Nothobranchius furzeri: one gene and its partners. Each later gene encodes a partner of the first gene's protein in a complex. Links are inferred from orthologs where the notes say so. Each region holds a gene or a part of one and is shown on either strand. Other genes may lie near its edges. The genes, in order: cnot2, cnot1, cnot6a and cnot11.

What was found.
Region 2: the proteins of cnot2 (region 1) and cnot1 are in contact, whole or in part, in a crystal structure (PDB 5FU7), measured with the Homo sapiens proteins. The link is inferred for Nothobranchius furzeri from reciprocal best matches to the Homo sapiens genes CNOT2 and CNOT1. Residues at the interface, in NP_001186231.1 of Homo sapiens: Met350, Val351, Asp353, Gln354, Phe355, Gly356, Met357, Ile358, Gly359, Leu360, Leu361, Phe363, Ile364, Arg365, Gly372, Met373, Val374, Leu376, Ala377, Leu378, Gly379, Ser380, Asp381, Leu382, Leu385, Leu387, Asn388, Leu389, Ser391, Glu393; in NP_057368.3 of Homo sapiens: His1864, Ser1865, Ala1866, Ala1867, Arg1870, Asp1871, Gln1917, Pro1921, Ala1923, Pro1925, Ala2003, Tyr2036, Leu2039, Glu2040, Ser2043, Arg2045, Ile2048, Ala2049, Ala2053, His2054, Leu2079, Leu2084, Lys2086, Gln2089, Ile2090, Leu2091, Tyr2092, Lys2093, Gly2094, Leu2096.
Region 3: cnot2 (region 1) and cnot6a share a complex: the UniProt entries of both Homo sapiens proteins name them as parts of the CCR4-NOT complex. The link is inferred for Nothobranchius furzeri from reciprocal best matches to the Homo sapiens genes CNOT2 and CNOT6.
Region 4: cnot2 (region 1) and cnot11 share a complex: the UniProt entries of both Homo sapiens proteins name them as parts of the CCR4-NOT complex. The link is inferred for Nothobranchius furzeri from reciprocal best matches to the Homo sapiens genes CNOT2 and CNOT11.

Annotation. Positions count from the first base shown.
Region 1 is NC_091744.1:77,740,497-77,747,998, reverse strand, and holds the end of cnot2 (CCR4-NOT transcription complex subunit 2), read right to left. Parts: intron 6,801-7,502; 5' UTR 6,789-6,800; coding exon 6,675-6,788; intron 6,587-6,674; coding exon 6,517-6,586; intron 6,363-6,516; coding exon 6,215-6,362; intron 6,146-6,214; coding exon 5,963-6,145; intron 5,881-5,962; coding exon 5,801-5,880; intron 5,538-5,800; coding exon 5,412-5,537; intron 5,303-5,411; coding exon 5,178-5,302; intron 5,087-5,177; coding exon 4,969-5,086; intron 4,694-4,968; coding exon 4,537-4,693; intron 3,885-4,536; coding exon 3,823-3,884; intron 3,755-3,822; coding exon 3,705-3,754; intron 3,625-3,704; coding exon 3,524-3,624; intron 3,422-3,523; coding exon 3,277-3,421; intron 3,197-3,276; coding exon 3,110-3,196; 3' UTR 2,633-3,109; downstream 1-2,632. Other genes in the region: washc4 (WASH complex subunit 4), read left to right, coding at 1,071-1,135. UniProt on the Homo sapiens protein: Component of the CCR4-NOT complex which is one of the major cellular mRNA deadenylases and is linked to various cellular processes including bulk mRNA degradation, miRNA-mediated repression, translational repression during translational initiation and general transcription regulation.
Region 2 is NC_091744.1:81,572,825-81,580,673, reverse strand, and holds part of cnot1 (CCR4-NOT transcription complex subunit 1), read right to left. Parts: intron 5,147-7,849; coding exon 5,039-5,146; intron 4,882-5,038; coding exon 4,783-4,881; intron 4,523-4,782; coding exon 4,454-4,522; intron 4,296-4,453; coding exon 4,241-4,295; intron 4,148-4,240; coding exon 3,944-4,147; intron 3,826-3,943; coding exon 3,657-3,825; intron 1,745-3,656; coding exon 1,618-1,744; intron 394-1,617; coding exon 283-393; intron 1-282.
Region 3 is NC_091741.1:95,562,455-95,570,303, reverse strand, and holds part of cnot6a (CCR4-NOT transcription complex subunit 6a), read left to right. Parts: intron 1-3,241; coding exon 3,242-3,399; intron 3,400-7,849. UniProt on the Homo sapiens protein: Poly(A) nuclease with 3'-5' RNase activity.
Region 4 is NC_091754.1:35,252,432-35,260,874, forward strand, and holds the start of cnot11 (CCR4-NOT transcription complex subunit 11), read left to right. Parts: upstream 1-3,989; 5' UTR 3,990-4,180; coding exon 4,181-4,499; intron 4,500-4,723; coding exon 4,724-4,888; intron 4,889-6,736; coding exon 6,737-6,889; intron 6,890-7,113; coding exon 7,114-7,316; intron 7,317-7,399; coding exon 7,400-7,602; intron 7,603-7,888; coding exon 7,889-7,985; intron 7,986-8,082; coding exon 8,083-8,280; 3' UTR 8,281-8,443. UniProt on the Homo sapiens protein: Component of the CCR4-NOT complex which is one of the major cellular mRNA deadenylases and is linked to various cellular processes including bulk mRNA degradation, miRNA-mediated repression, translational repression during translational initiation and general transcription regulation.

The DNA of each region.
Region 1 (7,502 bases):
CGTCTCGGTCGGTAGAAGCTAACTGTTAGCATTAGCGACTCCGCCACATGGCAGAACTCCTTCTAGCTTGTGTTATTTGTGGAGGTAAAACATCCACATTGCAAGTCAGTGGCAGAGTTGTGTAGTGGTTATCCAATCCGGGGCGAGATGTCCAAATACCAGAAAATAAGACTTCAAAACCTGCCGTCTGAAGCTCAGCTGTGATGTGGGTTGCTGTTAGTTCCTGGAAATGGTGCATTTTTTTCCCCAGCAAGAATGAGTTACAATGCATTAATTTCTACTAGAGCAGCAGTAGCTCAGGTGGTAGAGCGGGTTGCCTCATGATCGGAGGGTCATGGGTTCGATTCCAGCTCCCGCCAGGGGTATCCTGCTATTGTGTCCTTGGGCAAGACACTTCACCCAACTTGCCTGTGTTAGTGGTGGTCAGAGGGGCCGACGGCACCAAATGGCAGCCTCGCCTCTGTCAGACCTCCCCAGGGTGGCTGTGGCTACAAGTAGCTTACCATCACTAGCAGTGTGTGAATGTGAGAGTGTGTGAAAGCGTCTTTGGGTGTCTAGAAAAGCGCTATATAAGTTCATTGCATTATTATTATTATTATTATTATTATTACTAGAGACCATTGCAGATGTATTAACTCATTCACTGCCAGCCGTTTCTGCCTGCCAGCATTTTTGCTGTTAGTTGAAGAGTAACAGAATATTGTGCTCTATGACCATGTGAACACCAAAAAACAGAGTAGACTCACTTCTTACATCAGGAAAAATCTGTGCTTGTTGCTTTTTCTGTTCTTTCACAATACATTGGCCAAGTGTGAGCGGCAGAAGCTTCTCCCGTTGGCGCCTCGCGCTTTTCACAGCAGCGTCCCAAAACAATCTCCTAGTTCATGTATTTTCTGCTGATCACGTGACGTGTGGCACACATGGATGGAGATCGCCTTTAGAGCTGTGATGTTTACTCTCAAGGCGCAGGAGCTCCTTCCAAAGCCCACCCCATTAAAAACAGTAATTAAATGTAGTGAATGAGTTCAACGAGTGAACCGCACCTTCAATGCTTTTATGTTTTTCATCAGAGGATGCTGGGAAAGCGGGAGTTTCATCGGAGGGCTCCACGGCTCCTGAACCACCCTCCAAGTGAAAACCTTCCCTTCTGACTGGATCAGAACTATTAAAGTGTTGCCGGGTAAAAATCAGCCTGCAGCTAAAGCAACACAAACTGCACAAAAGATTTCAGGATGAAGAACTGGAGAGCGCCCAGAGAAGCTGCTGGGTGTTTTTATATCCCACAAAGTCATCTCCAGAGAAGATTGTAGTTTAGTTATCAGCTGCAATATCTGCTATTTTGTAAAGTTCCACTTCTGTAGCAAATCGTTTAAGGTTTGCCTGAATGTTTTCCTAATATTTTATGTTTGTGCCAAATGTAAGTGCTGTTTCTTTTAACATTTTAAACACTGAATAAATGTGGGTGCCTTATGAACTGTGCATCATTTTGATCATTCGACTTAACTGTACTCTAAAGTTAAAGATGGTTAAGTTTTAGTTTTCTGCTGCTTTGGAGCCTTTTAATATATTTCTTTGAATGTGTGGAAACATTAACTTTGTCATTAAACCTTTTTATTCGTAACAAAAACGTCCTCGTTTTTTTTTTTTTTTTTTTTTTTAGCGACCTGAGAATTTTGTGTCGAGAATGTTGTTGAAATTTGGTTCGTTTGTGAAAATGCAGCTTTTAAAAAATAACACCGGTCTAATGAATGTAAAATATCTGCATAGTGGTCGTGATTTAGCTCATAAATAAAAAAAAAACTTTAAAATCTCAAAAGTAATAAACATGACACGGTGGTTCAGGAAAGCCTGTTCTGCTTTAATACAAAGAAAAGAAGCGTTTCACTTAAAATAATACAAGATTGGGTTTATTTTTTCCTTTTTTTTAGCAAATTGCCAGTTTATCATTTCCCTATGAAATGTCCTCGTTCATGTCTGTTCAGGTTAAATTGAAATGCATCCCTTTTACTTTTAACTTTTTTTTTTTGCCAAATGTTGAGAAGTCGGCCTTTCCATGAAGGAGTTTGTTTTTAGGTAAGTATGGCGCCAAACGGCAGCAGATCCAGAACATTTCTGTTACATCCACATTTTCTTTTCCATGTTCATCTCATTAAAAAAACCGAGGTACAAGGCAGGGCTTTTTTTTTCTCCAAAATAGATGTCATATATATATATACACATACATATATATATATAGCAATCATATATACACATTCATACATACATGTACTAATTTGTGTGATGCAAAGAACAAAAATGTACACTTTTCTTACAAAATCGTAACAAAGACTGGAAAGTGTTTGTTTGCTCTTGAGCAAAGTTGGTGTTAAAGTTCAGCCGCGGCGAGAAATCCTCCACAAATGTAGACTCTCGTATTTCTGTCCTTGTTTGGTCGGCACAGAAGTCAAAAGACGGAGACGAACGGAGAAAGAAGGAACAGAAAAATGGTTGGTAGTGCAAATACAGACGCTGGAGAAACGATGGATACAGACAGAGGGCTAAAAAAGATGGAATTAAAAGGACTGCATGAGGGAATGATGCGTAAACTCAAGAAATACAGAAAGAAGGGGAAAGAAAAAACACTCGGGGAGTGTTCATATAAAAAAGCACAAAAAATTTTGTGTTCTTTTATTACTAAATATAGTGCAACAATAAACATTGCATTTCTTTCACCCCTTCACTTGTGTATGAGAATGCTAACAGCCTTGTTTTCCACCTGCTTGTGTTCTTAACACTTGCTGTAAATAAGAGGTGGAACCTCTGTTCTGTCCCCGTCCCGTGCCACAAAGTTAGTCCTCCTCGCCGAGAGGACGCAGGCTTCTGATTCAGAGACGTAAACAAAACACAGACCCTGCTCAAAACAAGAGAAAGGAAAAAAAACAAAACAACCTGAAACACAGAGTAATAAAAACGGAACAAGTGTTTTGGGGTAGAATTTAAGTTCAGAAAGGCAGGACAGCTTTAATGGTGATCACAACCCCTGCAGTCTAACAGCCAAATCCTGGAGGAATAAAAACCACAGCGCCGGTGCTGGGCGTCAGCTCTGTGTGCAGGAACAGCTGCTTGGGCCTCAGAAGGCCTGCTGGGCTGGATTGTAGTTGAACGTCGTCGGAACGTGAGGCCTCTCTTCTAGCTTGTCGTACTCCAGATGAAATTCCTGAGAGATTTGGGCAGAGTTTAGACTAATCCACAACCAGTACAAAAAAAAAAAAACACTCTCAACTTAGCAGGTCTTACCTTGGCAACTTTCCTCCAGTTAAGACAATCAAAGAAGTAGTAGGTGCCCCTCTCGTAGGTGTTGGTCTTGAGTGTGGGCTCCATGCCGGGTGCTCTTGTTATCCAAACCCGCTCCTCTTTGTGGTACCTCCAGTCCCGATTAAAGCTGGAGACGGGAGAGTAAGAGAATCCGGATTCAGTCCCTGAGAACATCACATCTCCTGATCCCTCTCGTTTTGGATGTTCGGTGTAATAAAGGCCTACTTACAGCTCTACTGCTGCCAGGATCTGTAGTAGATCGCCACCATTCATGTAGTACAGGTAGAACAGCAGGTCTTCACCATACCGGGCCAACTTAATCGCCGCCAACTAGAGACAAGACGGTAAGGAATGTTAGTTTAATGCTAATAAAAGTGTAAAAGTGCTATAGTCGTGCAGCTGTGCATCACCTTGTCCCTTATATGAATGTTGGTCAGATACTCCGAAGGAACGTGGAAGTCTGGAAGCACAGGTACAAGTTACGCTGTTTGCCTTTTGAGTTAAAGCGGCACTGACAATCTGTCTTACCGATGTCCTGAGGTCGACATGGTGACGAGGCCCAGGGAGAGGCAAACTTGGGGTACAAGTTTCTATTGAAGAGAGAAGGCTTAAAATCAGGAGAAGCACACATCCTTAAAAACAAAAACACTTTGCTCTGGACCCCCAAAGCTTGGTTTACGCTTGACGCATTCACTTTCCACGCGGTGATGCGGCTCGCGGATGGAACGCGCTTCACAACTCGCAGCGTGTATGGTTCATGCGGCTTGTCTCTGCGGTGAGCCAATATTCTCCCAAACTGAACGGAGCAGCGTGGAGCTCTAGGCATGCATCCAATACTACACCATAGAAGTAAAAATTACTGTTTACAACATGGCATTCCAGCATTTTTAACAGCGTCCTCGTCTTTTCCGACAGTGCGAGCTATTTCTCTCCAAGAATTTTTAACAACATGTTGATCACGGTGATCTCTGAGAGCTGAATCATACAAATGTCTGTATTTACGAACCTCTGCCATACTAGTTCTTGCCGGTCCGCCATGTTTTTCCGCGTCCGTCCGTCCACGTGGTTAGAAATTTTCCGAGGTGCGCGTTGCGGAAATCTTGACCCGTGCGGAGACGCGGTGGAGGGGCGTGGTTGTTAAAATGACGCAACTTCTCCGCGCGTAGTCGTACGGACCTCGCGGACGCGTCAAGCATAAACCAACCTTAAAGGCGAGCGTTTCTGTGGAGGAACAGCTCTTACTCTGGTGAGTTGAGATTGAGTCCCAGCGTGGTGAGGTCATTTCCTAGCGCCAGATGGACCAACCCCGGATCGGTCTCCGCTGCTCGTATAAACGTCAGCAGACCGATCATCCCAAACTGATCCGTCACCATTCCTGAGGGAATGTTGGTAACCCGACCTGCAGCGGCAGAACCATCCAGACTCAGTAAACCACACATCTACCGATGGACTCTGATCTACAGCAAATACTCACTGTGGAACCAAATCCTTATTTCTAGACTCATTTGTGCACACATCGCAGAGCAAACAATTACACCGTCTCATAGTAGCTTATCCAATACTGATTTAACCCAAAATACAGGGGAGAGAGCCCAACTGCCTCACCCAAGCTGTGTGATTAAGAAGGGATGTCTCAGAGGAACTGGAGCGATACGATTGGCTGTGAAGTCTCACCATCTGGTAACACCTTGATGCCTTTCTTCTGGTTGTTGTTCTGTGCGGAGGCCGTCTTGTCTCCGGGGAACTTGGGCCCATCTGTGCTGGACGTGCTCTTGTTTGTGGAGTTCAAGTTCTAAAAACGGAGAAGAGAAACATAAAACTCTGCGGGAAAGGTTCCTGATCGGCGCCCCGACACAAACGCAGAAACGAGAATGCTCACTTACAGTTTTACTGTCGTCGTTGTTCAGTGTGGTGTCCTTATAGTTCGACCCAGGCAGCGCAGGAAAGTCCTCGTTATGGATGGAGAAATCTTGTGTCTGTTCAGTTGATGGCTTTGTCACCATGCCAACTTAACGATTTCCCAGAGTAAAACAGTCACATAAGTGACAGCACAACTCCAACAGAAGCAACTAGTTCCACTGCTGAGATGACAAATCTTTAGGGGATAATTGGCTTACCGTATGGAGCACGTCCAGCTAGCGGGTTGGACACCGGTGTTGGATTTCCCGTCCCTTCCCGTCGACTCCTGTCTGCTAATGCGGGGAAGTCTGACAGATCCAGTCCCATCACGCTGTCGCTCCCATCTGCAACAGCATGTTAACACACTCTCTATAGTAATACGTACTAATCGCTACTGCAGCAAATAAAAACCATACATTTTGTCTTTAAGATTGATAAAATGCATACATTTATTCTTTTGTTTTCATTTTTGTGCTGCTCAGATTTAAAACCAGACTTTAACATAAACACATTCTACTGCAGAGCCAGCAGTTGTTCACTAACTCCACTGCAACATGAAGCTCCGTGACACTTTGCAGCCTTTCGAAATTCAAAAGAAACTACCCACCTGTGCCGTTGAAGATGTTGCTTGCTAACGCGTTGTTCATCCCAAACGCCTGATTGCGGTTCATACCAAACCCTGACATGCTGCACGGAGAAGATAAAAGACCGGTTCTTCAGCCGGTGTCCACAGAGGGATGTTGATAAACGTAAGGATTTTAAAATCTACCTGCTTATGGTGCACAGCTGACGTGACGGCTGCTGTTTGGGCATACAGATGATGCTAGGTGAGCTGCGGTTGGGGCTCCCGAGTCCTGAGCTGCTCATACTATTGGTCCTGCTGCTCAGCCCGATGCCTTGACCAACCTGAGAGTGATTTAGTATGTTCCTGGAACTCATCGGTAACGTGCCTCTGCAAAAACACATTTAAGAATGAACATTTTGTTGCAATTTTACAATTATTAGTAGCAGAAACACAAACCTGCTCGGCGACGGCGGGGTATGGAGTGACATGGTGGGGACGCCTGTTGTTGGGGTGATATGACTTGGTAGCTGCGACCCTTGCGTGAGATTTCGGTTTAACTGAGGTGTGCTGTTTCCCAAGCTTCTAACGGGGAAGCCAATTGCACCTGGACAAAAAAAAGAACCAAGTTAATCCAAAATAATATTAAATAATCCAGACAGAATTCTTTGCATTGTATGATCAGTCCACGTCTACTACTGATCTGTAACAAATGTGAAACTAGTTCATTCTGTGGTACAAATAGAACAGCAAATACTAACTTTGTGGACCGTACAAACTTGGACCGAGCTGTGACAGCTGACCAGACGACGGTGAAGGAGAAGACAGTATCTGGACAATAAGATTCACAAACAAGAAAAATAATCAGAAAAACTCCCCATCAGATAACATGACCACACAGAAATATGACGAGACTTACATCTTTGTCGGATCGATGTGGGAACATCGACCCCTGGCTGTAATACATTTCATCTGGGAAGTCATTGTCGACGGCCTCGACGAACTCTGGAAATTTCTTTCTAGCACCAAACATGCCTTTTGTCACCTAAAGAATGAGGGAACTTTAGTAAAGGTGGAGACTAAAGGGGGCAAAATAAATGAGACAAGATCATCGAATTAACAACTGGAGTTTGGAGGCCAGATTAACTTCTCAAACTCATTTTTTAAGATATTCCTGAGCCCTGTTTGTCGATCTCTTTCTCTGGCAAGCCACGGCAACTTGGGCGCTGCTCCAGCCCAGAAGACTGTGGTAAATAATACTCAGCTTTTCAGACACACTTAGGTTTTCAAATCACAACATCACAAAACAAACAGAAAATTAATTTTAAGCAGAAACCACCACAAAACAAGTATGTTTCCTGTTAGGCTGTGGCAGACTTTCCATTAACCTTTTACATGTGCTTTTGAAGAACAGTCTTTCAACTTTTTGTGAAGTTTTTCAAAGTTTGGCTTTAGATTTTTATTATTTTTCCCAGTATTTTTTTTCTTACATGACCATTACACTAAAAAACAAGAGAAGCTGAGTAGAAATAAATCTCAAGGCTTAAAATCTACACCTGATAACTAACGTCCAAAAGTCACGTCTTTTTATAAATAAGAACTTTTCAACTAATAGGAGGCTGGGAATCGCTTAGGAGGAATTCAAATATAAATTTAAACTGCCATCTTGATCATTTTTGAAGATCTTAAATACAAAATATAGAAAACTGTTTCGTTTTGATGGGACACGGAGACAGATGTGGCTCAA
Region 2 (7,849 bases), about 3.8 Mb from region 1:
CAGTTTTAATACGAAGCAGCAAATCCTTCAAAAGTAAAACCAACCTGCTCCATTTAAAGTGAAGGTAAGCATGATGGATCTCATGTTCTAGACTAAAAAAAAAAGACTACTCGTCATTAATTACACAAAAACGACGGTTTGTTTCATCTGCCAGGAGCAGGAATGGTGCACCTTGTTACCAGACTCTTGGCCAACTCTGGTGACTGTGCAGAAGCCAATCCCAAACAGAGAGAAACATGAACCGAACATCAAGGCTAACTGAGAGAACGTCACATCACTTACCACTTCTTTGACAACATCAATGAGAACCTCAACGTTCCACGTATGTGCCTGAGAACCGTCGTTCTTATCCTTGCCATCACTCCAGATACCACTTCCTGGGGCGGAGATCGACTGTGGCATAAAACACAACTCAGTATTTATACCCTAAACATATGAAGCCCATTAACATGAGTGGATGACTGAAAGAATCCTGTCTTGCAAAGAGTGCTCATCCCCAGAATGCTGGGCCTTTTAACTCTCTCAACAAAACAGTCTTCTGAAAAGAGTAAAGTACAAGAGCTAAAGGTTAAATGCTATTTTCCAAAAACAGGGTATCTGCATGTTTAAGACAGCTAAATTTAAGACTTTTTAAGACCTTTTTTAAGGCTACTTTGACCAAATTTAAGCAATTTATTTAAATTTAATTTAAGCTATAATTTCCAGCTATTGCCTGAAACCGGTGCTAACCATGTCGCGAACGTGAGATTAGCCATCCAGTTACCATTAAACTTGCACTTCCCCATGGTACAAGCTCCCACTAGCTTAACCAGCTAATGTGCTCATCTAAAAATAGCCCCCTTTCACAACCAACCAAATGTGTACAGTTCCGCTTATGCAAATATTATACACATAAAATGCTGAACACTAACTAGAAATTCACGAAAATTTTATAGAAATAAAAATACCTTGTTTATTGGGTCTTTGGTCATTTAAGACCTTTGGAAACTGTATTTAAGGATTATTTGTCATTTTTAAGGATTTTTAAGGCCTTAAATTTGAAAAAGCAAATTTAAGACTTTTTAAGGACCCGCGGATAACCTGAAAAAGAAACCCTCATAGGACCTTTACAAGGCTTTAATTAATATAGCTCGTTACTGGAGACCTGAACAGGAACTGGGATCTTGTGGGAGCCGGTAAGGCGCAGGTCCGAAGATCTTCGGTAGGATGCAGAGTACAACTGAGGTTGTTAATAAAATTAAGACTGACTATATAAAAATGTTGAAAATCATATAAATAAAAGCTTGTTTTTCTGAACTAAACTGTGCATGTAAGCCCATTGTTAACATAATCATGGAGTCTACAGGAGTAACAGAGAGATGTAATAGTCAGAAATTCAGGAGAATGATTATAAACAATAGTCACAAGCAGGAAGTTACTTTGTACTTCACATTAAAAAAACAGAAGCAAGAAAGTAGTGAAAAAACATCGAGTTGCATAGTAGAGTAAATCTAAGACCAGACATAGTCTGTTGTGTTTGTAGCTTGTAGTTTAGGGTAAAGCGACGTAAACAGGTGATGCAATAACATTATGTTGATAAAATGTAGATACCGGACTTTAGTTCCAGCTTAGCCTTACCTGAAGCGGAATGCCATCAGATAGCCCAGAGTGGGTTCGCGCCATCATTCCTAGGACCCTGGCTACCTGGCTGGCTGTCACCTCTCTCACACCATACTGGAGGATTATGTTTCTGCATTCATCCAGACTGCAGAAACACACAACCACATTCCATCGTATTTAACACAAACACGTGTGCTTTATGATATACAAAATATTTTTTAAACTGCGCTTTTGATCTCCAGTTACTTCTGAAAACTTTAGTAGCCAGACAAAGTTATGTATTATGCTTTGGGGTCCTAACCAGCAGGTCAATAATAAACTATTTACTGCTCTTTTTACACGACTGGCAAAGATTTACATTAGGGATGCTGCAGCTGCGCAGCAACAGAGTCTGTGTGTTTAATGTGAATCACACATGCTCCAAAGCTTATTTCACCGTGTTCAGGACATGGTGGGTGTAGAAAGGATGTTAAAAACACTGCTAATAGTGACAGACGTAGCGGAAATATAAAAGAAGTAGAAAAAGAGAGGCCGAAACGTTTTTCCAAATACTGCAGCAGTCCAAGCAAGCCAATTTCTTCAATAATTCCATTTTAGTAGCTGTTACTCCAAAATTCCACTATCTCCGCTTCGCTCCGACACGAACTCCGCAGCAAAATCGGTCCCGTTGTAGTCAATCAGAGCTGATGCACTACTGCGGCCGTGCAGCGCAGTGCGCCGCCCGCCATTCGGCAAAAATAGGATCGATTCTATTTTTGCCGGACGCCGGAGCACCTCCGCAGTCAATGGACAAAAATCACAACCGCCCAACAGGAAAGGGAGCAAGCACAACTTCCGTTATTTCACAATAAATCGATAAACAAAAAGCGTTTTTTGTTTCATATGCACAGGTTTAACAACTTTTAACAACTATCAATGGCGGTTGAACTTTAAATGCACAAAAATAAGCCATAAATACAGTTTCTTCTATCAAAGTAGTCACCCTTTGTTGATCCAAACTCTGCTGATCTCTCTACACAAATGATGGGCAGATTAAACAGTTCATTTCGATGCTTCTCCCACACAACGGGTGTTTGGATCTAACTTCCGCGTTTATTGATCGGACTGTATCGCAAGATCTCGAAAATCCTGCGCATGCCTGTTTGCGCACCTTAGGTCTCCGCACCGGAGCGGATACCAGTAAAAATTGAGTTCGGAAGCGAGCGGCTGCGGAAGGCAGGGGCGGAGGTAGTGGAATTTTGGGGTTAGCAGAGCTCTGTGCGTTGTTGTGTGCATCAGTGACACTCGCTCTACCAGGAAATCACGCAATGACAAAGGTTTTACCTTGCTTGAAATGCAAGCTCTGATTAAATTAGGGATGCACCGATACGATACTGGTATCGGTACCGATACCAATAACAGTATTGGTATCGGTAAAAGTTAACCGATACCAATGCAGTTGCTTGAAAATGGCTTCACTGTAACTTGTCATTTCTGTTCACCTAATATTTTAGTTTTGTGATGATTTCCATTCATATATTTTACTTTTTATCTACCTCACAGTCTTTTCCTGTTGAAAGCAAAGAAGAAAATAAAATCTATTCCAAATCATTGCATTTTTGTGTGTGGTAGAAGTATCAGTATTGGTAATCGGTATCGGCGAGTACTCAGATCCAACTATCGGTATCGTATCGGTTTGGAAAAAAGTGTTATCGTTGCATCCCTAGATTAAATGCGTGAATTTTTTTAACGAGTAATCCCCCCCCCCAATTAATTAATCATAATTAATGTGTTAAAGTACCACCCCTAGTTTTAATACAACTAAAGTCAGACATTTAAACCATCTAGTTATGAAAACTCTACATTTTCAGTTACAATAAATCAGCATTTCAAAATCCATATTCTGAGAGCTGGTAGTGGTTTTATTCTGAGAGCTGGTAGTGGTTTAGCTGTGCTGATATGAATGCACTCACAATCAAACACTAAAACCATCAAATATTTTTGTCCTACAATTAACTGTAAATATTTATTACTGCAGACAAATAAAAAAAAATAACAAGAAGAGTTTTTAAACTCACCTAGCACAGAAGCCATAGCCAACTTCTTGAATAAAGTCTGCAAGAGAACTCTCCATCATGGTCTTAGCTAACTCTCCTGAGTCTGGTAGAATCCTGTCCATGAGAATGTCCCGTTTTTCAGGGTACAACAGTGGTGCGAGCACCACAGGGCAGCGCTCCTGGGGAAAATCTAGAGTCCAGCAAACACAGAGGTGTGGTACAGATTAGACATCCAGGAGTGATTTTTATCATTTCAATACCACGCAAGCTCAGTTTGACTCAGCTCCACCTGATTAAACACATCATACCTCGGCAAAGTGTCTTTAAGAAAGCGTCAATCTGCTCCTGTCCCACCCCACTGGCTCCCTTCTGTCCAAACAGTAGATGGGAGAGCAGCAGGTGCAACACTTCTATTGCAATGTCTTGGAAGCCACCTTCTTGGTTTCCTCCAAGGTCTGCGTCAACGTATGAGCGCAGTAGGTCTGGAAGTTTCTGCTTGATGAACTGTGCAGCTGCAAAACAAACTCCTCTTAACTAAAGTCCCAGTGGAAACTTGTTTTTTTGCAGCGTCTTTAAAATGTGTCAGCCTCTACAAGGCAACTTACCAAAACCACGAAGGTCTGTGTTGCTGGAGTTAAGCAAAGCAAGGCCAAATATTACCTAGAAAATGAAACAAATTAGGAAAACAAGAAATAAATAAAACTACTATTTTCAACTATTGTATAGGCAAAAAACCACAAATTTTCAGTCCATTACATAATTTGGAACCGCTTGCTTAATTTGGTTAATGATAAAATCTCAGCGCAGAGCCGACTTACCTCTTGGACCTTGCTGAGCTTAAGGACTTTACTCAGTTGAGTGAAGAGGTGGGCAGATGGCTTCAAACTCTGGAAGACAATATAAGAAAAATGTCTTTGTGAAGCTAAAAGTTAATCCCCTTTATTTACCCCTAAAGCACGCAGGGCTCTGCATAGAGACGGGTACACCATTATCGAGACAGAACTGTTGAACACTTTAATAAGCCGGGGGTGGGGGTGGGGTGGACAAAAAGAAAGATTATTTCATTTCACTGATGTGCACACATGCATGAAGTAAAACTTGATGTTCAATCTGCAAACATTCCAATGTTCTATCAACAACATCTTACCTTTTGATAGTGAAGGGGATTGTCAATGGCGTAGCACAGGGTAGCAATAAAGTTTGGCTTTGATATAAGCGAAACACACTCCTGGATCAGAAACTGTGTCTTGCAAAAAAACAAAAAGAGAAAAAGAAAGAGCACAAACAGATGAAGCTGGAACTTAATAAGTATTATCATACTAAAAGAGGTCTGTTCTCAGAGTGGATAAAGCAATGAATGTATAATTAGAAACATCCATCAAACATTTATGATCAAAAATTACCGGGTGAAAGTCCTTGCCACTGCTTTTACCATCGCCACTGAAATCCACATGGGAAAAGAGACAGCGTAGTAGATGCCTGTCTGCCTCAGGACCGTGACGATTTACAATCTGGAAAGGCACAAAATGTAGACAAGACTTTGTAATCCTCCTTCCAACATGGGATGTTCAGTTTTAAAACTGTGGATTAGTAAAATGTGGCTTCAATTTGTTTGTTTGGCTTCACTGCCTTGCTTTTTCCAACTGTTTTTATGATCTATGTGAATATTTCTGCCTATTTCAGTCAGTGACTTGATGCAACCTGCTAGGTTCCTTATATAGGAAACTGTTTTCTGATTGGCTTAATAAACTGACCTGTATTGGAATGTTTACTATGTTAAGTACCTTGAAACGACTCTTGTCGTGGTTTGGCGCTATACAAATAAACTTGAATTGTTTTATTAATTAATTTGGTCAGCTGTAATGGCGTGTTAAAAGCACTCTAAGTAGTATGGTAAGATCATTCAAACTACAAACCTTTAAAAGGCCTCTCCACGGTCTAAAATCAGAAATATGGTTAACTGGTCAAAACAGTGGGTCCACTTGTGTCTTGAATGTCAGTTTATATAGACCTCAGTCTAGGAGTAATGTTGGAAGAAGTACAACAGAAACATTTGTTTTGCCCTTTGCCCAACCAATTCCCAGTTAATTAAAGACGGATGAATCAAACTGTTGATAAGGATTCTTAAACCCATCGTGGGCGTTAGCCACCAACAGTCATGGGATTACAACAAAAAAAAAAAAACTGGAGAGATGATCTCAAACATATCAAAATAAATTTGAAGAATCAGATGACATGAACCATTTGGGACCTTTTAGACAGAAAAGCAAATGCTGTGTTTAATATTTCAGTTTGGATGTTAATCATGGAATTATTTGGACATAAAGGGCAAGCTGTGGTTGTTGACTGCACTAACAGGTCATCCAAGCAGTTTCTGTTTCATTTTATCAGTAAGTAAATTTATATTTCTGTACTTTAATTAGCTGGTTGAATGGGGGGAAATGCTGCGTCATTAACTACTTGGTCAAACATGTTAGTGGGGCTGCTGCTGGATAACCCCGGCTTTCCACGGGAGCCGTCAGCAGCACGTTACTGCAGCAGCACGTCATAGCTTCTCATAGGAACCGCTGTGGTCAACAGAACCTTTTCCACTAGAGCCGTCGGCAGCCGTCAGCAGCGCGAGTCGGCCGCGTCTCAGGAGCAGCATGTCGCGGCCTTTACGCGCCGGTTCTATTTTCTACGCGCGACGCCTCTGAAACGGGTCAAGTTCGACATTTTTGGGGAAGGAAAGACAGGAAATCGAACGCGGAAATGGGGAGAAGCTCCCGAGATTTTCAGAATAAAGAACGTACTGCCTTCCGGTTGCTTTACTTTTAAAAACAGTTACTAACTGTGCGGCCCCGTGAGAAGTTATCACCTAGCTAGCGGTCTCCTTTGTTTTTCAGGTCCGTATTGGCGATTATAAAACGGACAGAACATAAAACACAAACCATGTTGTAGTTTTCTCCTGCTTGTTGTTGTGTTTACTGACGAAGTCACTCGTGTGACTTCGTGCTCGGTCGGTGACAGCTGCTCCCCTGCTGCTTCGCGTCTCGTGGGAAGGGCCAAGCAGCAGCTTACGCGAGCAAGATCTGCTGCAGTAACGTGCTGCTGACGGCTCCCGTGGAAACCCGGGGTAAGAAACAAGCGGATGCCCATTTTCTGTCTCCTGCCCGAGACGAGTTGCTAGAGCAGGCGGCTGGCTGTTCCCGTTTCCCCGGGGCCGCCGACGCACGAAAAGCTCCGATGACAGGCTGTAGTCATGCTGGTCATTTGTGGATTTCTGAGGGAGATCACAGAAACACTGCAGCTTTTGTAGTTGATGCTGCTTTACTTTTGAGTCGCTCACCCGCATTTTTTTATCTCTAATAGTTTGCTGGTGCTTTTATTTTACACAACATGATGTGACATTTTAACAATTAAATTTAACTTGTGATTGTTTTAACTATGTGAAGCACATTGGGCTACCGTTTTGTGTATGAAATGGGCTATTTAATAAACTTGACTTGGTTGAATGGGGGAAAATTCAATGTGTTTACCATAACACTGCTTGGTCTAAAAGGGGTTGAAATCAGTTGAAATATAATGTGTTGGTGTGGCTGCTGGATATCAGACCGAGGATCGGGCTTTGCTGGTCCACTGCGGTGAAAGATCAGCTGTTCTCGTCTCTGGTTGAGAGCGGAACACGAAACCGTGAGCCGAGTACCAGAGCCGCGTGTGTTGACAACGGCGGACTCGCAGATTTTTGACCAGGGAGGACCAGCGAAGCCCAATATTCTCTGTCAGCTTACCTTGTTATGATTTTGTTACTAAGAAGGCCGGAGGTGACTTCACGTTGGAGTCGTTCTACCACGTGTTTAGCTTCTGGTTAGCATGTAGCTAAAGTCCCGCTGATCTCCGACCGTGGAGAATGAACTGATCTGAAAGGCTAGGGCTCCCAGTCGCAGCGGTCTGGCTCTGCTTGTAATGTAACAGTCCCAGTCCATATTAGAACTCCACAGGCGACCAGCAAGAATACAGCCTCACACTGAAGCTGGTCGGCTGTGCGGGTGGGCTGCCCCGCTGTCCCCTTCTTAACTTCTTGGGTTAGCTAAGTTAGCTAGAGTTGTTTAATTTGTTCCAACCCTGTTCCTAACGTAACAACCCCACCCTCAGCTCGACCTCTTCCCATTTTTGGATTGTCTGAGCGTGACTCGGTTAAAAAAAATCATTGGTGGGAACCTCCCATTTTTGGC
Region 3 (7,849 bases), on another chromosome or scaffold:
ATCTTCCTCATCCTCTTCTGTTACTTTATATCTGTGTAAATGTTTGCACAATGATAATTACAATTAATAGTTTTATGTGTATGATGGTACAGGTGTTTGTGAATAGTATACATACACCCGTACCATCATGATTGCACCCGTGATATTCAGAAGCTTTTTTCTAAATATTTAGTAAAAGCTGCTTCTTTTTCACTGATCCGTCATTAAAGCAGCATTATGTAAGAGTTCCACAGTGAAATAATGTTTGTTTATTTATTTAGCAGACGCTTTCATCCAAAGCAATGTACAACTTATAACCTATAGGGCATGTTGTGATCTGTGGGGGAAACCGGAGTACCCGGAGGAAACCCACGCATGCATGGGGAGAACACGCAACTCCACGCAGAAAGGCTGTAGCCGAGTTTCGAACCTGCAACCTTCTTGCTGCAAGGCAACAGTGCTAACAACTGCACCACTAGGCAGCCCAAAACAGTTTAATGTCTCAATCACACTGAAAGGAAGGTTACAATGAAACAGATTTAATTCTCCGCTGGCTGGGGTGTTGTCAGATTTTCTCCTTTAAAAAGACAAAACAAAATGGGGACGTCACTTAGAACCTGCCGCACACGAGAGCCAACTGCTGAGCAAGGGGCCTCGAATGACCGTTCGCTCAGCAGATACCTCGCTGTGTGCGCATTTTCCACCTCACGAGACGCTGAGGTGAATATCTGACCCCCTCGGGGGGGTAAAAACTCACCGTGTGCGCACTAAGTGAGCTGCTGGCTGAGCTGAAATATTCTAGTGGCCAATCAAAGCACGTTCTCCACTCACATGACCCCAAGATGGCAGCCCCTTGTCTGCATGTCAGAAAATAAACAAAACGAAGACGTAGCTGGAAACGGAGGAAATACCTCTACTTTTTTTGTTTATGAGGCATCGCCACCACCGTCATTTCAAGGTTAGGATAGTATGTGTACGGTGGCTGTAAAGCAGGGCCAGGCAAGGAGTTTATACCAATCTACTCCAAGAGATGTGTCTTGAAGACCCAGAATGCTTCCGACAGTACCACAGCCTGGATCCTGAATCCTTTGAGGGGGTAGTGGAAACAGTGGGCCCATCGATCTGCAAGGCACTGTTTCGTTTATTTTTCTGACACTCAGACAGGGCAGGGGCCACATCTGAATACATCTTGGAATCATGTGAGCAGAGAATGCGCTTTGATTGGCCACTAGAATATTTCAGCTCAGCCAGCAGCACACGTAGTGCGCACACAGCGAGTTTTTACCCCCTGTGAGGCGGAAAATATCAAACCGGTCAGATATTCACCTCAGCGTCTCGTGAGGCTGAAAACTCTTTGAAAATCAGGCGCACACAGGGAGGTATCTGCTGAGCAAATGACCATTTGAGGCCGTTTGCTCTCGTGTGCAGCAGACTTTATTCGGTGAGTTTGTGAGGTTGCCAAGTCTGCAGTGAGCTAACCCAGCATCCCAGGCATTTGTAATTCAACACAGTGCTCCAGAGTTGTTAAAAGAACTGAATAAAGCCAGTAAACAAGTGCGACCCCTAAGAAGCTACTGCATCCTTTAGTTGTACTCTAAAGCCCTTTTCAGACAGACATTCTGGAACATTTGCGGACAATTCAATCCGGTTTTTAACCGGAACTGTGTTTTCAGACACACCACTTTTGTACCGGAACTTGTCCTTTCGGCTGCGTTCACACAGCAGGGAAAAGTTCCAGATGTCTGACGGCGGCGGGGGGTGGTGGTGGTGGGGGGGTGATCGGACTCATGTTAAGAAGAAGAAGAAGAAGAAGAAGAAAATATCATTTCTACAGCGCCTCTCAAGATAAAAATCACGAGGCGCTTAAGCATAATTCTGCGCACACGAAGACGCATAAGAGACCTGGATGATGAAGCTCAATGGTTAAAGGAATCACTGAAGCGGTGTGAAGCGCTCCCTCGCGCGTCTAGACGGTACCGTAGGAGGCGAGCTGCCGTTGATCGCCGCATGCTACAGCAGCGGGCTATCTAGGTGCGCACAGCGTCCCCCGGTCCCCTCCTCCTCCCCCTCCCTCTTGTCCGGAACTTTACCTCACCAGTCTGAATCAGCCACCCTGTCCGTAACAAGTCCGGACCTGTTACTAGGGGCTTCGTCCGGATAAATTCCGGAACACATTATCCGGATGTTTGTATTCAGACAGAAAGGTCTTACGGACAGATTCCGGAACATTTCCGTTTTTCATGGCCTGTCTGAAGGGGGCTTAATGTTGAGTAAAGCAGGCTAGAGTTTATTATTGAGCTAACAATGCTAACGATGAATAAGGAGCAAATAGTCAGCTCAAAAATATCTCAAGCTACTTTTTCAATTACCAATAACTTGATGTTACAGTGAAATGTATGTGTGAAGTGAGTAATTGAGTTTTTCTTCCTTTAATGAGTTGCTCAGAACTTTTAACGGCAGGCTAACAGCAAGAATGCACACAACCACACTTCCTGTAATAACTGAAACAAACTACCATAATAAGTGTAGTAAGTGCTCCCTGCCATAAAACACCCAGGAATGCTAACACCAGATATGACAATGTATTCATCAACTTATCCACTTTCTGTGTATGACTCGTCTTCGCTCGTCATCTAGAATCTTCTGGTGCTCGTCATTAAACGGCAACAGCCATGAAACTCACAGAACGGCAGTGAGAACGTGATGTTTTTGCCAAAAAAATGAACCCCAGTACCCACATTTGTCCGCTAGATGTCATTCTTACAGATTGCACCTTTAAACATTCCTTCAGCCCCTCTTAAATGATTCTTCCAGACGCAGATAGAAAAGATGTCGGTGTGTAACTCCTTAAATTTGAAATATTTCCCCCAAAAATGATAACCTCCTTCTCCTACTACAAATATTTTGAAACTACAAATATTTTTTGATAATATATAGTATTTTGGTTTAAATATATATTGTACTGTTTGTAGTTTTAACCGTTTTCATTCTAAAACCAGCGACGTAGTGTGATCTCTGTAACTCTCGTGGTAAATGAGGACGCTGCACCGATGGGGTTTCATGATGAGTCGAAGTCTTTTTCCTGTGTTTTGGTTAACTCACTGCTACTGATGGGTGGAACTAGTAATTTCACCAAATAAAACCCATCTGATTATGATTTAATAACTAAAGCAAGACAACGCCTTAGAAGGGAGTGTTTAAGGTTGCTGTCAGCTTCAGAAACACGTGAACGAGTGAAATTTTTCCTGTCTGTGTTCCTTAGCTCTCTTCTCGGTCATGTGCTATAACGTGCTGTGTGATAAATACGCCACGAGGCAGCTCTATGGCTACTGCCCGACCTGGGCTCTAAACTGGGAGTACAGGAAGAAGTCCATCATGCAGGAAATCCTCGGCTGCAACGCAGACATCATCAGTTTGCAGGTAAGATAATATCCAAGAATTCATTAAGACTTTGTAACTAGGATTACAAGATGTTCATAATGTGATTTTTAGTCAAATAAATGTTTTATGGACAGTGTGTTGGCAAAACTGTGGCTTGTTTTGCAGCTGCTTGTATTGTAGAACGATTGATCAAAGTGTAATCATGTTCAGTTTGATCAGGGATCAAAGGTCAATATTGTTTTATTTGTGCTTTTTCTTTTTTTTTGGGGGGGGGGGGGGGGGGTCCATCAGTTTCATTACGTTGCCAAGAATCAGGATTGGTTCTTTTGTTTTGGTAAAAGCACTTTGGGTTTCGGATTTTTGACTGGTGAGGAGGGGGTTTCCTGGGGGGATTAGATGTTTTACACCATTTTTGTGTTTCAGTTCCTGTCTGGCCTAGGGTTGTCACGGTAACCGGTGTAGCGGTAAACCCCTGTAAAAAAAGTTGACAATAATGATAACCGTCTTGTTTTAAAAAAAACTATATTATCTCGGTGGATTACCGTGGCTGCGGTGTAGGCGCGGTGACCCTTACCAGCCACCGTATCATCTGCTGAAGTTGCCCGTGGGACATGCGCACTTTGTTGTTTACAACCAAAACTTTCTTGAAGCTAAAGCTGAAATAATGGCCAAAGGAGGAGACGGCAGCACTCAGGACATTTATTATCCCTCAAAGAAGACAAAGTCGGAAGTATGGGCATCTTTTGGATATTTGAAGAATGCTGAGAGACAGTTGATAGAAGACGGCTATCCGGCAGCAACACTTCAAATCTCATGACACATCTGCGTGACCATCACCCACAACGCTACAGTCAACGAAAGGCAAGCTAACGTTAGCGTTTTAGCTAAAATGTGTGATCCGAGGATTTGGGTTGAGGGAGAATGAAACGAGTCGCTATATAAAGCAGCCGCACCGCCGCTACCTGCATATAAACCGTGTCGCGGACACCGCCATATTGAAATGATGCTATGCATTACGGGGCTCCCAGGGGCAGATAAGAGTTGGTCTCTCTCCGAGAATAATTATGAATTTAACAACGATTACTGCCTGATGACATTTTCCCAAATCTGCAAAGCTCACTGGAAGGACACAAACCGAGGACAATATTTTCCTGATCTAGGGTTTATTACTCAAGTAAGGGTAAAAAGTATCTGATTAGAAGGCTACTTGAGTACTGAGTATCATCTGATCTAATATTTTTAAAATGATGACATCAAAAAGACATAAAATAAGAAGTTATGGGCAAATATTGGTATTTTCAAGACTAAAGGGGAAAAATGTAAACAAATAAACAACATAATTACAAAATAACACATTTTAGGCTAAATTTAGACACAAACTGAGGACAATATTTCCTGACATACAGGGTTTTATTTAATTGTGTGAAAATGTAGCACGTTTAAAAAAAAATACCGCAATAATACCGAAAACCGTGGTAATTTTGGTCACAATAACCGTGAGGTTAAATTTTCACACCGTGACAACCCTAGTCTGGCCTGGTATGAACTGCTGAGTTTGAAGCCTTCTCAAAGAATAGTGTGTAAAAAATAGAGTCGATGCACAAACAGCGTGTCCCTATGTTTCTGTGATGCTTACAAAACGCGATTCTTCACGGCTGGTGGAAACATACCATCCACTATAACGGCTACTAATTGCTGCTTTCTGTGTTTCGCTCTGTTTCAGCCACTTGATTGGTCCAGCGCAGAGTAGTGACGGTGTGAAATTTTAACCTCGCGGATATTGTGACCAAAGTTATCACGGTTTTCGGTATTATCGCAGTATTTTTTTTAAACGTGTTACATTTTCAGGCAACTAAATAAACCCTGTATGTCAGGAAAATATTGCCCTCAGTTTGTGTCTAAATTTAGCCTAAAATTTGTTATTTTGTTATTATGTTGTTTATTTGTTTACATTTTTTCCCTTTAGTCTTTAAAATACCAATATTTGCCCATAACGTCTTATTTTTTGTCTGTTTGATGCCATCATTTTAAAAATATTAGATCAGATGATACTCAGTACTCAAGTAGCCTTCTAATCAGATACTTTTTTTTTACCCTTACTTGAGTAATAAACCCTATATCATGCATAGCGTCATTTCAACATGGGGGTGTCCGCGACACGGTTTATATGCAAGTAGCAGCGCTGCGGCTGCATTATATAGCGACTCGTTGCATTCTCCCTCAACCCAAATCCTCGGATCACGCATTTTAGCTAAAACGCTAACGTTAGCTTGCCTTGTGTTGACTGTAGAGTTGTGGGTGATGGTCACGCAGATGTGTCATGAGATTTGAAGCGTTGCTGCCTTTCACAGACACTTTTTCTGCACGTGCTGCAAACAGGATAGCTGTCTTCTATCAACTGTCCCTCTGCATTCTTCAAATATCCAAAAGATGCCCGTACTTCCCACCTTGTCTTCTTTGAGGGATAATAAATGTTCTGAGCACTACCGTCTCCTCCTTTGGCCATTATTTCAGCTTTAGCGTCAAGAAAGTTTTGGTTGTAAACAACAAAGTGTGCATGTGCCACCAGCAACTTCAGCAGATGATACGGTGGCTGGTAAGGGTCACCACGCCTACACCGCAGCCACGGTAATCCACCGAGATAATATTTTTTTTTTAAAACAAGACGGTTATTATTATTGTCAACTTTTTTACCGGGGTTTACTGCTACACCGGTTACCGTGACAACCCTAGTCCAGCATTGGTAACGCTTGATTTGATTGGTTGTTCATCTCTTCTCTATAACAATGTTGCTATCGAACCGTTCTCATATGCCTGCTATCATTCCATCGCCCATCCTATAGTGGTAATTTAGTTCTGTTGTTGGCAACTTCCTGTCAGGAAAATCAAGTTATCTGACCCTGCAGAAAATGACACAAGCGCATTATGATGAGAAGAACACCAACTGTTTTTTAACCTTGCAGCTGTAGGCTTTAACAATAATGCCAGTATAGAGGTCCACACATGTAAAGTCCAGGTTTGATCTGTGGGCTCCTGCTGGGCTAGAGAATGCAAATGACTTATGATAACATCCTTGGTTCATGTTTCCATTTGTTTCACCAGAGCTGTATGCTGAGAAGGCTCTGTGTCTAAACTTCCTGTTAGGCCCCAGCTCAGAGATTTGCATGTTAGGATTAGGGTCTGACCGATATATCGGCCGGCCGATATTGGGGTCATTAACGGTATCGGCTATCTGCCAAAAAGACTGCCGATATGACCGATATCGCACTACCTATCCAGCAGATGGCGCCAGCTTTATGAACTCATGTTGTGTGGCTCTACTCCTTAGAACTTTGAACACAAATTATTGTTTTGGAACTTTTTAAAATTTATTCTTATTTATGTTTCTTATGTGCAATTATTTCCTGTCCAGGGTGAATAAGTTCACCAAGTTAACTTCCACAGAGTGTTACTTTGTTACAAAGCACAAGTATTACGTTTTATTTGTTGCTGCATTTTTATAATTTTAATATTCTTATAGGGATCTTCTGTCCCTAAACTTGTGTGTGCTGTTAGATTCCCCAGAGTTAGCCAAGTCAGAAAAAACATTTTGTAACCAGTTGTTTTAGCATAAAGCAATGGAAGGGAAGGCTTGCACTCACCTCCATAAAAAAAACACTACAATGTATGTGAATTCACTTACATTGTTTTATGCTAAACTAAGAAAACCAACTGCTGCCAGATCATATTGGGCTGGTTATAAAATGCTTTTTCTGACTTGTCTAACTCTGGGGAATCTTAACAAGACACAATTGTACTGAGCGGTGGAATATTCCTTTAAAGGGGCATTATGGAAGTTTGACAGCCAAAACATGTATAGAAATAATAAATTTCTTCTTCATACATTCTCCTGCAATGCCCTGGTCCTGTAGAATGAGCCCTGGCATTTTTACTGTGATTGCCTGTTTTTCTGTAAAATCACAGAAAAAGAGAGCTGCTCGGGTCAAGCAGGCTGCTTCGTGCGCGTTCACGCTCAGGCATAGCCCTCCTAACCATTCTTTGAACGTTGTTCCAGCTGTGATCAAGGATATAAATGTTACAGATACAGAAGACACCACTGGCGGTAGAGCCCTGCACGGGCCTAAAATCTGAGCCCGTGTCCGGCCCGGCCCGAGGGGTGGAGCCCCAGCCCGACCCGGTCCAAAAAGATTTTCAGGATTCTCTGGCCCGACCCAAGCCCGACTTTTTTTTAACCAACTAAATGAAAACAAAGTGCGTCAATCCTGACCAATGTGTTAAAAGATGTGCAGTATCCGATCAATTTGTTTTTCCCTCATTTACAGTCACGGAGATAACGGCGCAGGCTCTGGTGGTAATCAAGTTAAATTTTATCTCTTTCCAACAATTTTCACAAGAAAAAACAGTCAAAAGCAGGGCTTGTGTTGTGTAGACCGGATAGTTCCCGTATTTGACCGTTTATTTTGATGGGGAAAGAATAGAAAGAATTACC
Region 4 (8,443 bases), on another chromosome or scaffold:
TACTCCCAACATTGGTCAATGAGGATTTGCTCGCTTCTGACACCAGCCCCCAGCGGATGAGGGTGGAACTGCAATTTATTTCACTTCCGCGTTGGCCTCAATTTCTGTCCCGCATTGTGGGGGCTTGGTTTCTACTCATATATTCACATAGCTGGAGTTGTTGGGGTAGCAATGCAGACTCTAAATGAATCTAAATAATAAATAAATAACTACTAATAATAATTAGGGAACGGTCGTGACGTCACTGAAATCACCACTGGCTAGTTTCACTAAACGACTATAAAGGACCACTGATACTAAAACAAAGAACGTCCGAGACACTCCAAACTGGCAGGGTAACAGGACTTTGGTGGCAGATAATGCCTTATTTAGAGGCAGCACTGCTGCCACAGCAGCTCCCATCATGGATATATGTCGATCGTAGATGGATTTTTCTCGAACCCCAAACAGCACCAAAGTTTTCTGGGTGAGTAAATGAACGTATTGCATAGTAGAAATAAGGTCCAGGTAGCAATAGAAAAGTCACCGTTTAATAATAACACAACTTGTTCGTCATACCCATTCTAGTCACGTTCGTTTCCTCCTTAATTCTGGAGGCAGAGTCGGCTCTTCTGTGGAGATGAGCGCCGGTGTCCACAGCGCCAACAGCTGATCCCTGGTGTAAACAATAGGTTCATGGATGGAGCCGGAGGAATTTCCCAGTGCGTTCCCACCAAGTTTAGAAAGCAGTAAAAAAATTTTACACAAATCACTAAAAAGTCCTCCTGTGGATGGTGCGGTTCAGGGGACATGTGCCCCCAATAACAGCATTAAAAACATGCAACACAAGACAAGCAGACAATAAAAAAGAAAGAAAAGACGTAAGAGCTGCTGTAACTGGCTGCAGCTTGTGCTGTGCCATCTTGGTAAGGTTTTACAAAAGCATGTTGTAATTTTCATGAATAAAAAGTGTCATCTAAGTCAGTGTTTTGGAATAAATGGTTAATAAAGTCTGTTAGCCTTCATGTTACACCCCTGAGGGTGAAAGTCGCTGTGCAGAGGGGAGTAGATGTGAGAGCGAGACATACAAAAATTATCTGTGCTTTATTAACAAAAGGCAAAACACAAATTCTCAGTCCTTATTGGAATAACTAAGGGAGAAAAACAATGTTTTTATTTGGTTAAACAAAATAAGTATAAACAAAACATGCAAATGACTAAAGGATTCACTTAAAACACCTGAGGAAATAAGCCTCAGGGAGGTACTGAAGCAAATGACCAATTAAACCAAAACAGAATAATTAAAACCAGATTCTTACCCAACATCACACAAAATCCAATAGATTTAAAGAAGACAAAACCCAACGGCTATTTACTAAACAAGCCCAAATGGTGGTAATAAATCTAATGAGGAAAGTCAAAAACAAAATAACGACTAAATTAAACAAAATAACTATTTATCCAAACCGGGGCACAACTACCTACTTTAGGAGGGGGACATAATTGGGCATCCACAACCCCACCCCCCCACCCCACCCCATGCTAAAGATTTTGTTTCTAATAGAATTAATTTTACTTGTAAAAAATCCCATAAAGTCGTTGCTGCTGAGGGCTAAGGGAATAGATGGTTCAGAGCTATGATTCTGTGTAAGTTTGGCAACTGTACTGAAAAGAAATTTAGGATTATTATTATTAATAATAGCAGTTCTAGTTTGTCGAGGCTTATTTTTATAAAGCACAAGACTATTTTTCCAGGATAAGTAGGACTCCTCATGGTGCGTAGAGCGCCATGTACAACAATTATACAAGATCAACAAGACATCACAACACGGAATAAAACATGAAAATAAAACAAAAAACGCCCAATCGGCCAATTAAAACAGTCAATGACACCAGATAATACTAATAAAACACTAAATAAAGCTAAAATATTACACAATGGTGATTCGTGGATCAATTAATATTGATAAAAGCTCTAAAGGCTAAAATGTAACCCAGTTCAGATTCATGACTTAAAAGCCAGATCATTAAAGTGGATTTAAAAACCACAACAGGTGACTGGTGGATTGAGATGGGCAGATCATTCCATAGTCCAGTTTGTTTTATAGAACTGGACTATGGTGGGTTCATGGTGGGTGTACAGAGTTACTAAATCTTTGCTTTTCAGGACATAAAAGAAATTATGTTTAAATATGGTTACAAGTAGGGAGGTCCCGATACAACTTTTTCCACTTCCGATATGATACCGATATTGCAGCCTTCAGTATTGACCGATACCGATATCAATCCGATATGATATCAGCACATACACACTTTTACCTATTTCATATTGTGGAATGTAGAAAAGGCTTAATCAAGTGACTTTTTAATAACCTTTGGTTGCATAAATGTGAACAGCTGAGGGAAGAGACATAAGGAAAAAAACACAATATTGTTCGCTGACCAACTGCTACAAGTTGTGTTTAAAGCAGGGGTATTCAATTCTGGGCCTGGAGGTCCGGTATCCAGCACGTTTTAGTTTTTACTGTTTCAACACACCTGATTTTAATCAGCAGGTAATTAAAAGGTTTCTGCAGAGCCTGATGAGCTGCTGCACAGGTGAATCAAGTGTGTTGAATCAGAGAAACCACTAAAACGTGCAGGATACCGAACCTCCTGTCCCAGAAACGCATACCCCCGGTCTAAAGTTTAATTTTACACACAGCGAAAATCCTCACGTAATGGTTTGTGATCCTGATTCAAATGCACATCGAGGGGGGACGACGTATAAAACTTCCCCGGTTCTGTTCAATCTTTGGAAGCTTGTGCATGACAAGTGTTGCACTGAGCCAAACTGTCTTTTTTGGACTTTAACAAAAACTACTGCCAGATGGCCGACATTGCTCCTTGCTAGCAAACACTTTTCTGATCACGTGGACTTTGCACGCTGGATCTGGACGCTGCTGGATAGAATTGCTGTAATGGAATTTAAAGCAGAACAGACTGCTTATATTGGAGATTTTTGATGCAGTCCGATATAATCTGATACGGTTTTTTTGGGCCGATATCCGATACCAATATCGGAAGGGGACATCCCTAGTTACAAGAACATAGCTACCCATCTGAGTGTGGTTTATAGGAAATAATCACAGCCTCCCTTCATTTCACTACCAGAATGATATAAAAATCACCTGCAACATTAATAAAAATTATTATTTTAGCCAACAGCTTGGAGCTTCATATTTTCTTTGGATTTAACTTCCTACGTTTGTTTTACTCATTTCCTCAAATGCATCGATTTTAATAACTATAATGTAAAAAGCATCATAGCTGTGCTTTTAAAACAAAGCCACAACTCTTTTGACTGAAGGACTTGCCTCCTCCTGCTGGTTCTGGGTCGCAGCTCTCCTTTTCTTGAAGGAAGCAGAAATGAAGCTCCCTGCTCAGTTCCACCACCGGCTGGTCAGGAAGGAAGTCCAAACAGTCCAGAGCTGCACAGAGCCACTTGTCATCCCAAAGAACGACAAATAAACACAAACATTTACAAGAAAATCTCATTAATCTGTAAAGTAAAGCAGCTGGGATCCATGCCGCCGCCACAGGTTCCAGTTCTCAAACCCACTGGGAGCTCCTGAAGGCCTGGAGGATCTGTCTGTCCAGGTGGTTGCTGCTGTAGATCAGGTCTGGGTTTCCATGAGCCACCAGGCTGGCTGTAGAAGGAGGAGGAGGAGGAGGTCTGGCTGCACTGGAGCACTCCTTCCAGCAGGGAGAGCTCTATAATGTTTAACAGCCGGAGAAGAGTCTGCTCGGTCAGACGAAGGAACACGTGGAAACTCCATTACCCACAGTGCACCTCGAGGTAAAGGTCACAAGAAATTTAAACGGGTAGTGCGGCACATTAAGAACCTACTTTTACAGCCATAACAGGCACTTATATTGCTTTTGGAGTTTATTTTGTCGCTAATTGCTTGTTCGTTAAGATTGTTTTGTTGTTAAATAGTCAATTATTGTTGAAAATAAGTCAGACCAAAAGCTGAGTCCTGGAAAACGCTAAGCTAAGCTAAGTGGAGGCTAACACAACTCCAGGATGCTAATATCGTTGACTTTCTGATTCACTTCACAACCATGGATTAGCACGTCTTGTCCCGGTATTTTTCCAACAATAACTAGTTTTAAAAACGGAGCAGAACTTCCCCGCAGCTGAACAGAACCGGAGGAGACGATGAGCCTAGCTCCGAAGGAACTGTCCAACCTGCTGAGCATCATCTCGGAGGAGGCCTGCTCCAACTCCTTCGAGACTCTTTCCACTCACTTCCATCATTACTTTGGCAAAGCAGAGCACTTCCGGGTGGGCTCGGTGCTAGTCATGCTTCTCCAGCAGCCGGACCTGCTGCCCAGCTCCCCGCAGCGGCTCACCGCCCTCTACCTGCTGTGGGAGATGTACCGGACGGAGCCCCTGGCCGCCAACCCGTTCGCTGCTGTCTTTGCCCACGTCCTGAACCCGGCTCCGGCAGGAGAGGAGCAGGAGAAGGCGCTGTCCGGTAGGACTAAATAATCCGGCATTAATGAAATCCATTCATTGCCATTGTATACTGGTAACACAAATATAAACACATCAAAGTCCATGATGGAGTCCCATACGTCTATGAGAGGAATGGCAGGAAATACAAGTTGCTAATACTGCTCCTGCACATTTACTGAAAATCTACGTATCTAAGGAGATGAATTCAGCCCCACCTGTTACCTGTGGTGATTTTGTGTTCAGGCTTCCTGCCGCCTATCACCCAGCCAGAGAAGTTCTTCCTGTCCCAGCTGATGTTGGCACCACCCAGAGACCTCTTCAAGAAAACACCCAGACAGGTGTCCTGCATGGACATCACCAACATGCCCCAGCCCATCGACATCAGTGGGCTGCAGCTCGCATTAGCAGGTCGGGGTGTGTGTGTGTGTGTGCCTGTCCTCTGCATCAGAGCTCTTGCCCCAGTGAGTAGACAGCTGCTCAGGGGAGAAAGCAGTGTGTGCATATGTGTGTGTGTGGCATAAGATTATGAGGACACACACAGAAAATTAATAAACTAATGTGGTTCAGAGTCTCCAAAAGCAACACAGCTCGTGCCCGCCTTTGTTTACCTTATTATGGAGGACACCGCGGACTTTCCCGCGCGTATTAATCACCGCCCACAGGCTCGGGGATTTCTGCGTTCCTGAGAAGTCGCTCGGATTTATACGTGAACACTACACCGCCCGTTCGAGACCAGACTCGCTCCATCCAGACCCACCTAACGGGTTGCCTACCCCCGGTTCAGGCTGAGGTTTAACTTATTTAAGCCTACTTAATACCAACTTGATATAAATATTTTGCAAATACTGACTAAGAGTTATACGGTGCACTTATAATCTAAAATAAATCGAAACATATGGTAAAAATATGGCCTGTATTTGATATAGTGCCTTCTAGAGTCCTGGGAGTCCAAGGCGCTTTACAACGCCATCAGTCATTCACCCATTCACACACTGGTGGGGATGAGCTACGACGTAGCCACAGCTGCCCTGGGGCGCACTGACAGAGGCGAGGCTGCCGAGCACTGGTGCCACGGTGCCTCCGACCACCACCAGCAGGCAAGGGGGGTTAAGTGTCTTGCCCAAGGACACAACGACAGCAACAAACTGAGCGGGGCTCGAACCTGCAACCTTCCAGTTATGGGGCAAGCACTTAACTCCTGTGCCACCGTCGCCCACATATGTTGCATAATGGTTATTTAGTCCCCTCCAGCGGTGCTGTGGGAGAGTGTACGGCAGCGGCGCGTCACTCAGAGATGATTTATTTTTTATCAGCCTGAGAAACTTATCTCTAAACTAATCAGTGACAGGTCCCATCAGTTAATGTAATAATTGTCCCAGGCATTTTGGGCATCCCTCTCCCTGCTTTCACAGTGATCGTGTGCTGCAGCACACACACACACACCATAGACATAAACATAGATGACACCTGGACAGTTTGCAGCACATGAACAGGATACAAACAAATGAAGTAGAAGAATTCAACACCAACAGCTGCAGGTGTTAATAATACAGTGTAAAACAATCACATATATGAGCTGTTTTGTTGGTAGAGTCTGTTGTTGTTTTTAGCACTTAGGTAGTTAAAGAATGAGTTGCAATGTAGTTTGTTCCAGTGGTGTTGCTGTGGTGTGATGTCATCAACAGGCGCAGGTCCCTGAGCGGATCTGATACCTACACCAGCATCAGAAAAGGAATTGCAAACAAGCAACTGTGGGCCAGAGCCGCTGAAATAAAACCAGGAGCTGGATGCGTTTCGAGTTGAGGCGCTGATCGAGCACAAAACACGTATAAAACATGTTACATGGAAGTAGAGCGGGTTGTCCAGTAATCAGAGGGTTGTCCCGGCTCACCGCCCGGGTAGCTGTAGCTACACTGTAGCTCATCACCATCAGTGTGTGAACGTGTGTGTGAATGACGCACTGTAGTGTAAAGCGCTTTGGAGTCCTCTGACTCATGGCACTAAATAAGTGTGGGTCATTTATCATCATTGTCCTGGTTCATCATGTCCGCTCTTTAAGCACCTCACCATTACGTCGTGTATAGTTCTGCTCCAAACAAGGAGCTAATGTTTAACACGTCATTTGTAAGTCAGGTGAGAACATTGGTTGATGGTGAGCGTGTTTACGTACGTTATTACACGCTCGTACCAGGATGGTCGTGTCGCTCTCACCTTCAGCCCCTGACCCGTTTCCATGTCTGCTCCTTGGTCTAACAGAGCGCCAGTCGGAGCTTCCCACTCAGAGTAAAGCCAGCTTCCCCAGCATCCTGAATGACCCAGACCCAGACTCCTCCAACTCAGGGTTCGACAGCTCCGTAGCCAATCAGATCATAGAGTCTCTGGTCACAGGACCGCGGCCTCCCCTGGAGAGTAAGTGGTCTTCATTTTCACTTTTATTTCTTCAGAACAGATTAGGAGAACCTAGAGTTTGTTTATTCACGCTTCCTGCCGAGTGCCTGAGGAGGTTAAGGAAGGTCAAGACGAAGTTACACGTGTTCAGAGCTCCTTAAAGCTGTGGTGTGTAAAGATTCTGCTTGGGTTGTCATGGTTACCGCATCAGCTTCAGAACGCATCACCACCTGTTTGTTTTTCAGGTCACTTCCGGCCCGAGTTCATCCGGCCTCCGCCGCCTCTCCACGTGTGTGAGGATGAGCTGGTGTGGCTGAACCCCACCGAGCCGGATCACAGCATCCAGTGGGATCGCTCGATGTGTGTGAAGAACAGCACCGGCTTGGAGATCAAACGGATCATGTCCAAGGCCTTCAAGAGCCCGCTGTCAGCTCAGCAGCAGTCTCAGGTGGGTCCTGGACTCCCAGGAGCGCTGGATCATATAAACACCGTGGTTGTCCTCCTCACCGTCTCTTCCACCTGTGTAAGCAGCTGCTGGCTGAGCTGGAGAAGGATCCGAAGCTGGTTTATCACATCGGGCTGAGCCCGGCCAAGCTGCCGGACCTGGTGGAGAACAACCCGCTGGTGGCCATCGAGATGCTGCTGAAGCTGATGCAGAGCAGCCAGATCACAGAGTATTTCTCAGTCCTGGTGAACATGGACATGTCCCTGCACTCCATGGAGGTGGTCAACAGGTGAGGGCTCGGCTAAAGTGTCTTTTGTGAGTTTCCTGTGTGAGACACGGGGTCTTGCTGTTGTGTGGGGGGCTGTCACTGTCCCGTTGTTCCAACTCTTGACCTGCATGGTTTGTGTTTTACCGCTGTACTTGTTTCTGCGGTGTTTTATGTTGAGACCTGATATTTGAATGGATTCTTTAACCCTGAATCATCTTCAGATGAGATGATTGTCTGTTACAGCTCAGCAGGCTGAGGTCAGAGCTCTAACTCTCTTCATTGTGTTTCTGTTTCCCACCTCCATCAGACTGACCACAGCTGTTGACCTGCCCCCAGAGTTCATCCACCTCTACATCTCCAACTGCATCTCCACCTGTGAACAGATCAAAGACAAATACATGCAGGTAACGGATTTTTCTGACTGGAGCTTCAGCAGCACAACAGTAAACTGTGTAACGTTATAATATCCCGGTCTGATGACACCATGTCTGTCTCTCCTAGAACCGGCTGGTACGACTGGTCTGTGTCTTTCTCCAGTCGCTGATCCGAAACAAGATCATCAACGTCCAGGACCTTTTTATCGAGGTCCAGGCCTTCTGCATTGAATTCAGCCGCATCCGGGAAGCCGCCGGCCTCTTCCGCCTCCTTAAGACTCTGGATACAGGAGAAAACCCGTCTGAGGTCAAACCCGCCAAATAAAGCGAGATGGATCAACACTGCTAGCGTTCCCGTCATCAGAGGAGCCGCTCAGCCAGAGAAGATCCTGTACATATGTGGACTGAACTCTTGGGACTCCCCTCCACCTACAGCCTCACCTTCTTCTGCTCTAATGTAAAGAAATAATGTTCCTCCAGGGTTTTTT